2 linked regions of the Daphnia pulex genome follow. The protein of the gene in region 2 binds, or shares a complex with, the protein of the main gene of each other region. Links are inferred from orthologs where the notes say so. Each region holds a gene or a part of one and is shown on either strand. Other genes may lie near its edges.

The links.
Region 1: myb-related protein A-like (region 2) and protein lin-54 homolog share a complex: the UniProt entries of both Homo sapiens proteins name them as parts of the DREAM complex. The link is inferred for Daphnia pulex from reciprocal best matches to the Homo sapiens genes MYBL1 and LIN54.

Annotation. Positions count from the first base shown.
Region 1 is NC_060026.1:5,752,658-5,755,860, forward strand, and holds the end of protein lin-54 homolog, read left to right. Parts: intron 1-56; coding exon 57-337; intron 338-410; coding exon 411-648; intron 649-718; coding exon 719-960; intron 961-1,027; coding exon 1,028-1,206; intron 1,207-1,285; coding exon 1,286-1,302; 3' UTR 1,303-2,456; downstream 2,457-3,203. UniProt on the Homo sapiens protein: Component of the DREAM complex, a multiprotein complex that can both act as a transcription activator or repressor depending on the context. In G0 phase, the complex binds to more than 800 promoters and is required for repression of E2F target genes.
Region 2 is NC_060022.1:6,353,836-6,358,460, reverse strand, and holds the end of myb-related protein A-like, read right to left. Parts: intron 4,191-4,625; coding exon 3,958-4,190; intron 3,831-3,957; coding exon 3,668-3,830; intron 3,595-3,667; coding exon 3,278-3,594; intron 3,190-3,277; coding exon 2,990-3,189; intron 2,757-2,989; coding exon 2,615-2,756; intron 2,547-2,614; coding exon 2,390-2,546; intron 2,329-2,389; coding exon 2,089-2,328; intron 2,028-2,088; coding exon 1,938-2,027; intron 1,879-1,937; coding exon 1,615-1,878; intron 1,550-1,614; coding exon 1,388-1,549; intron 1,319-1,387; coding exon 1,181-1,318; 3' UTR 458-1,180; downstream 1-457. UniProt on the Homo sapiens protein: Transcription factor that specifically recognizes the sequence 5'-YAAC[GT]G-3'.

The sequences.
Region 1 (3,203 bases), on a different chromosome or scaffold from region 2:
TTCTTAGATATCACGTAATTTTATTGATGAAACGTTTATTTTCAATTTATTTTTAGAGTTCAATCGGGGTGAGTGGTTCGCCAGCAACAGTCAACTTCTCGACCATTACAACCAGTGCTGCTACTGTTGTGTCAGATTCTGTTGCTTCGCCGGTAGTATCTAGCGTCAGTACAACTTCCCGTTTATCCCAACAACCAAAAGCGGCTCCTCCGCCTTCTCCCGAGTCTGCTCAAATGTCGGCTTCTGCATCCCAGGCAAAAGCACAAAGTGTACTGGAATCGAACGGACTAAAGCCGCGCAAGCCATGCAATTGTACCAAGTCGCAGTGCCTCAAACTGTAAATTCATCCACTTTCTACTTCAACATTTTAGAAAAATAGGGAATTAACTCTTGGGCTTGAAAATTTTCAGTTATTGTGATTGCTTTGCCAACGGCGAGTTCTGTCATGGTTGTAATTGCGTCTGCTGCGCCAACAACTTGGAGCACGAAGAACTACGTCTGCGAGCTATCAGATCATGTTTAGATCGTAATCCACATGCATTCAAACCCAAAATTGGTGTCGGATGGGGTCCGGAGCCAAGACGTCACAATAAAGGATGTCACTGCAAGCGCTCCGGCTGTTTAAAAAACTACTGCGAATGTTACGAGGTTTGTTTGTTAAATATGTTTGAAAAAATTAAATATGCACGATTATTTAATTGTTGAAATTGTTCCGTAGGCCAAAATAGCTTGCTCCGCCATTTGTAAATGTATCGGATGCAAAAACTGTGTCGATCCTGCTGGTTCTCCGCCAGGACCTGGAGAGAAAAGACTCTCGAAAATGGCAGCCCTTCAAACTAATCCGAGCAGTTCTGGCGATAGCCGAACGGTGAGCAATCCAGCTTCTCACAATAGCAAACAAGAAGACCGCACCACTGATCCTCCTAAAGGCTTTTCAATACCTACAGCAGCTGGGTCGAGGTATTGTTTTTCACAATTTTTGCAACGTTCTTCACGTTATAACTGAAATGGTCGTGATTTTCTGCAGTAGGCCGCCGTTTAGTTTCATCACCCAAGAAGTCGTGGAAGCTACGTGTCAGTGCCTTCTTGCCCAGGCTGAAGAGGCCGAAAGGCTGTGTAAAACCTCTACTGAAACGGAAGGCCTCGTTCTTGAAGAATTCGGTCGATGCCTACTTCAAATAATAGAATACGCTTCCAAAGCCAAAGGTACTATCAAAATTGCCGTCAACGTCCAAAAAATTCAAGCGTTTAGAAAACAATTAACTCTCTATATCCTATCTCTCAGTCTCTGCCAGCCCTTGATGACACGTCGCCAACCGGGTCAGCAATCGAACAGAGATGGCCAACCATCTCACGGATTTCATTTCTAAATTTACTATGTACAAAGTACGGTCCCAATAGACTATCCCCCAAAGGGTTTTAAACAACTCGCGGCCGTTTAGCTTCAGTCAATTTTAGAGTGAAAATATGATCGCAGAACAATTTACAAATATTTTTATTTACCTTTCTTTTACAGTAAAATTATAACCTCTTGTACAGCTAGGTAAACAGTGAGCTGCATTGAAACTTTAAAGACAAACAACGATTAATTTCATTGAGTTTCAAGTGGTGGTAGCGCCCAAAAATAAGTCGTGATTTTTGCCAATTTTCGAATTCTATTGTCGAAGTTAAGTTGTTGAGCGCTACCACTAAAGAATTGAAATTAAAGGCTGTTTTTCTTAAAAATGTACTAGTAGCTTATTCTTTACCAATGTGCAAACGAGGTTTTGATTACGTTACTGTAACAATAACATTGTTTCAAGAACTAATTTTTTAATTACTAAAAAACATTTATAGTATCTTTTCGGCTGTGAATGTTTAACTCTTCGTTGAATAGTCTATTGGGACCATAGTTTTATACATTATAATTTTTTAAGAAGAAATTCAATGAGATGGTCGCTTTTGGTCGTTCGGCTTAAACTGACCCAAGCTTAGTATAAATGGAGCCGGGATTTATTTGTTGATAGAACTCCGTGCATGTCATAGATATATTAACCTTCTGTCTTTATTGTTTTGCTACTGCTTCTTTTGTTCATCTTGAGTTTTTTAGATGTAAAAATATGGCTTCAAGGGGAGATGATTTAGGACTTTTTGACGTGGTTCAAATATACCATAATCTAAGGCTTGAAGAGAGTGAGTTAAGTTAAATAGACACCAAATATAATTTTTTTTTTCTTTGGTGTAATTTTGGAATATTGGTGTAATTTTCATGCTCCTTTTTTTGTATAGAGCTGTGCATTTTGTATGGGTGATAGCTAACTGGGTAACCAAATCTATAGCTCATACCAAGTTTACTCGTTTTAACTAAAAAAATGGAAATCCAATGATCTATAATATTGATTACTTTGTAATGGTTGTTATTCCCTTGACTTGTTTTACTTTTGGTTTTTAAAATACAGAACGATGTGGGTTTTGTATTCGGGTTTTCTAACATGTCCTGGTTTTTCCTAGTTTTAATACTAGGTTAAAGTACTAGTTTCCGAAATATCGAAAGAGAGACTGCAAATCACGGTGAATTCGCATCGTTTAAAAATGTTTGATGGAATGTGTATATTGAGTCTGTAACTGAAATTGAATTAAGGAATATATAGCAATAAAATGATCCATTTCAAAGACTAAGAGGGAAGCGGAGGGAAGTAAAAATAAAACCGGGTTAGATTAGATTCGTTTTAATTTAGAAATACATTTAACATTTTGAACTTAATTGCTTTTCACTTTTTTCCCAAAATAAAAATTACAATTAAAAGCGCGTTATTTGTAAATTTTTTGTTTACCTACGCAGTACCCGTACTAAACTTGGAAACAGGGTGAGGAGGTCGAGGAGTGATCTCTTTTAGCGCCAAATAAAAACCCGACGCTCGGTTTCTTACGTGTCCCCGTTTTGTTTTGTTTTTTGTTTTTTTGCGATAACCCTCGTTAGAGTTATCGCAACTTCAATCCAAAAAAATCCTTGTCGTCAGGAAAGGTAGGCTTCCATCGCGATTTTTTATTTCAAATCATGGTGAATGGTTGTTCAACCTGAAAAGTTAGGACACAAAGTTTAGAAACAGAGCCGTTAACCACCTAAATATGCGGGTGTAAAAAAAAAACGTCGCAATTAATTCCCTAAGCATTACTTTTCTTGAAAACTGAATTGCACAGACGACAGAACCCCATAGACAGAC
Region 2 (4,625 bases):
TGTTTTATAATGTAACTTGGGTGGCAACAGGTGAACAACGGTGAACAAGGGCGGGTCCCAACAGGAAATTTCAAGAAATAAACCAAGCGAGAAATGATGTTGATGGCAATGCAACAACAAAAAAACAAAAAAAAAGAAACTTATTTATTTCCATTATAATTTGTTTTTCATTAATTTTTCGATGATGCGAATCTATCTCATCTTAGAATTTTAACATACTTTACATTATATTTGTCAGAAATGCTCATTAAAATTAGTTTTTCGGTTTAAAATTGTATCACGGAAAAAGAAATCATCTGTTTAATGATTCCATAAAAAGCGTTACTGCATGTCGACTTTAAAGTTTAAACTCGCTCTGATGCGATAAGTCACCATTATCTATTTTTTTTTTATCTAAAGTTCGATAAGGAAAAAAAAAACCGTTACAGAAAAGATCGCAAACTTTTCGAACAAGAGATGGTTTTAATATAATTGTATTTTTTTTTAGTATTTTCCATGTGAGTTTAAGAACAAATGAAATCAATTTTGCGAGTAAATGTCGAGACAATAATGAGCAGGTTACATAAGAAATACTACAAATATAAAAATAACCGATAAATACGACACATTTCATTCTAATTAGACAAAGATTTCATGGTTTTTCCTTACTTCCACCAAAGCCGAATTTTTGAATTTTTTCCTGTGAAATGTTGTGATCATGTGTTTATGAGCTACGAAACCAAGCACGGGTAATATATTGATTAATATCTGACATTCGTTATAAAAATAAAAAGATGAAAAAAAAGAAGGAAAACAAGAAAAATCAAATTTCCAAGGAGCCATTACATATTCTTAAAGCTTATTAGCGAAAGGTACTATGTAAAAGAAAATTCATCCACTAATTTTGTTCGCAGCGGTAAGCAATACCAGAGGTTAAAAAGAAACAGTGCCAAGACTAGGTCACTGTTCACGTCATGTTCAAAGTTGTTCGCCGTCAAAATTAATTTTTTTCTCTTAACGGATTGTGCTTATCATTAGAGAGGTTAATTTACACGAAACCGTACCCTAATACGATGTCGTTGAGTACGTTAATTAATACAAAGAATTTCATGCAAATGACAGAAAACAAAAATTTCAAAATCCATTTTTAAATGCTACCAAAATTGTGTCAAACGCTAGATCTCTTAGCTAGAAATTTTTGTTAAAATGTGCATTTCTTTTTGCATGCAAGTGGTCCTCCACGTCTGTGATCCATAACCAAATAGGAGCGGGCTCGTTCAGTCAATTCAACTTGGTCTCTAGTACGCCCGCACGCCACCATTTCCCATCTCACGTCCACCTGCATAAAGAACATGATGATGTGCCATGGACTGTCTTTTCATCTCAGATTTTTTTCCGAAAGGCAAACCTTCTCTGATGGACTGCGAGAACCAGTGCTTTCGATGCTGCTGTTGGGACGGTGTGGTGGATGTCCGAAAGCGTCGTCACCATCTTGAGTTTCCGGAAGAGTTTCGCGTATGATGGAGGGGGGAGAAAATAAGACAGACGAATCACCTATCAAGGATTTACTCTACAAAGAACAAATAGATTAGGGAATGATTTATGTATTAACACGAATCAATCGAAAAGACTTACAGGGGTTTCAGGTAAGAAACTAATAGAATCGCAGCCAATTCCGGGCACCTGGATATTTCCAGGAGTGCTCCAAGTGGCATGCAGTGCTTTGCGAGCTCTACGATTTGGAGACTTTGGAGCGGGACCATTTGAGGTTAAAACTGTGTTTCCAGGAATGTTCTCTTTGTTATTAGGTTTAGTAGAAGCAGACACACAGGGTGCAGAGCTACCACCACTTGTTGTTTGCCTCCTATCTGTCATGTAGCCGCTATCTTGATGTAAATTCTACACGCAATGAATAATTTTAGTGTCAATCAATTGAAAAAGCGTAAATATCTTCTTACCTGAACAGGCGTATGTAAAGCTGAATCGGATGGGTCGGTGTCCTTGCCGATAATATCGTTCAAGTCGTCAAACCGCGTTGGAGTATTTAACTGTAAAAATATCAGATGAAAATTTAGTTAAAATAAGGTAAGATATATTTACGAAACTTACAATGTAGTTGATAGGTCCACCCTTTTTCTCCATTTCTGCCAAAGCGTCTTTGAAGGGAGTGGGGGTTCGAGTGATGAGTTCTTGATTTCTACGAAGTGGAGTTCGTAGTGCAACATAATCAGCAATACCGCATCCTCCACGGGTCACTGGGGTCAAGAGCGCAGATGGTTTGGGCGCTGAGGCACAAACAGGCGTTGACATGATGGCTTCCGTGTGGATTGACACAGAATTGCTCAAAAACTATGCATAAAAACATTTAAAAATTTGGCTGCAAGTTGGAATACACGCAACAAAAATATACCTGGGAAGGACTGAAGGGTAGTGTTTTCATCGGCGTATGGGCGTTCTTACGCGGAGTAAAGTGCATTTCCTGGAATGGTTTGTTCAAACTTGCGCAATCTGAGCGGAGGTCCAAATCGGCGGGAACAGCCTCTTCGTTGGAAGTTCCCATCCACTCACTGTGAAAATAGATCGGTTTTTTATTGTAAAATGTAAAAAATTGTGTTATATGTTGATAAAAACTTACGATGTTCCATCATATCCGCTTGAGTCGGCTCTCACTCTTCGGCTCTTGCCTCTTCTCAATATAGGAGGAGTGCCTTGTTTCAAACTGACAGTAGATGTGTTGTTTTCTGACGACGTGCTCTCGTTGTTCTTTGTAGCATTTCCTTAATAAATAAAAAAGGGATTAAAATATGTTCACTTTAAATTAACTCCACCGAATGCAAAGTTTAGTTTTATCAACTCATTTGTGTGCATGCAATACATAAAACAAAAATGTCATTTTAGACGTTTGAAGTAATTTTGATTCAATCAACAGGAATCTGTTACCATGTAAATCTTAAAGCTTATTCAAGTATCTAAAATTATCTTTTATCAGGTCAGTGGATTTCAACAATACCTTGTTTGTTTGTCTCATAGACGTCAATCACATCATCTGGTTTGTGTGCGTTGTCAGCGGTGCCGACAGCTGGCTGTTCGGTCGTGTTGGTAGAGACGAATTCAAAATGTGGAAACTCCGATAGGGTCTCACTGATCAGAGCTTGATTCAAGCGATTGGGGCTCAGACTTTCCGGGCTGCTCAATTCACCCATGACGTACCTAGTGAAACCACACACAGAGAAAAATGAAATGTCAGCTTACATTCTTCTCAGGGATGTGATGAAAAGCAATTGGTCTCTCAACATACTTGAGAGGGGAAAAGATATCGGAAAAGTCTTCAGGCGAGGAAACAGAGGGGGCTCTTGAATGGCTGCCGACACTGCCACCAATGTTGTTTGACAAGCTGGCCCCATTGTAAGTATCAAAGCAACTTTGCTTAGGCTGTGACATGCCCATGTGTGAATTCTGGGCTCGATATGCCGGTGATGGATTAAAGTTGTTTGGTACCAACTCTACCGACATACGACTGTTTTGACTGCACGGCCTTGACATCATCTGATGCTCAAACATGGGTGACGGATGTTCCGATCCATATTCCGCAGAGCAAGATTGTTCAAATGGCATCTAATTAAGAAAAATGAAATAATTTGGTTTGATTATTTCGTTGTTGTGGCAAAACTTTTCAATAAATTCTAACCGGAGTCGAAGCAAGAGGGTGAGGATGCTGTTGGTGATCATCCACTGCAGGACGAACTCGCTTCCGGCCACGTCGTTTCCCTGTGTCAATGATGCTTGAACCATCTGTTTCATAGCGCTTTTTCATAGCCGAGTTCCAGTGATTCTTGATGGCATTATCCGTTCTGGATAGAGAAATCAGACAAAAGATAACGGGTATGTAGGCATGAATAAAGAAAAGTGTCAAGGCAAGCTCCTGTCACACCCATGTGATGAATGGATAAATCGGCAAAGCTCTTTTTATGACAATACCTTCCAGGTAGAAGTTTGGCGATCTTGGCCCATTGATTTCCGTATTGTTCATGAGCATTGGCTAGCAGCCGGTCTTCTTCCTCCGTCCAGGGTGACTTGTTGATGTTAGGATCGAGATGGTTGTGCCATCGTTCTCGGCATTGTTTACCTATCCGGCCATTCAGATGCTTAGCAATCTGCGTCCACTTCTTTGGACCATAGCGATGTACCAGTTGGACCACCAAGTCGTCCTCCTGTGATAAAAAAAAGGATGATGATTCAACTCAAAACTTTGACAGCATAGCATTTCTATATTCTATTCATGTCCACTTTTGGGGTGAGGTGGGCTTTGGGGGATGGGGAGAAGATAGGTGAGAAAGAGGAAAACATAAACTTGAAGGGATTTTTTTAGAGGCATCTTCTCACATATCTGTGTGAGAAGTGTGAACACGAGAATAATCCGGGCTCTTTACTTTTAAAAAGACCAATTCTGGACGTTTACAATTGAAAAGCAACTGAAAATCCGACCATTATTAGATTTGGTGGAAGGGCCAAATTCACATCACTTGAGACTATAATTTCACGTTTCTTCATTCCTCACCCAGCCGCCTTAAACCCTTGCGGCCCTTTTCTTCTTTCAATTTGGACATTCCCTGCTGTTTCACCAAGCCATAGAATTTGGTTTCCTG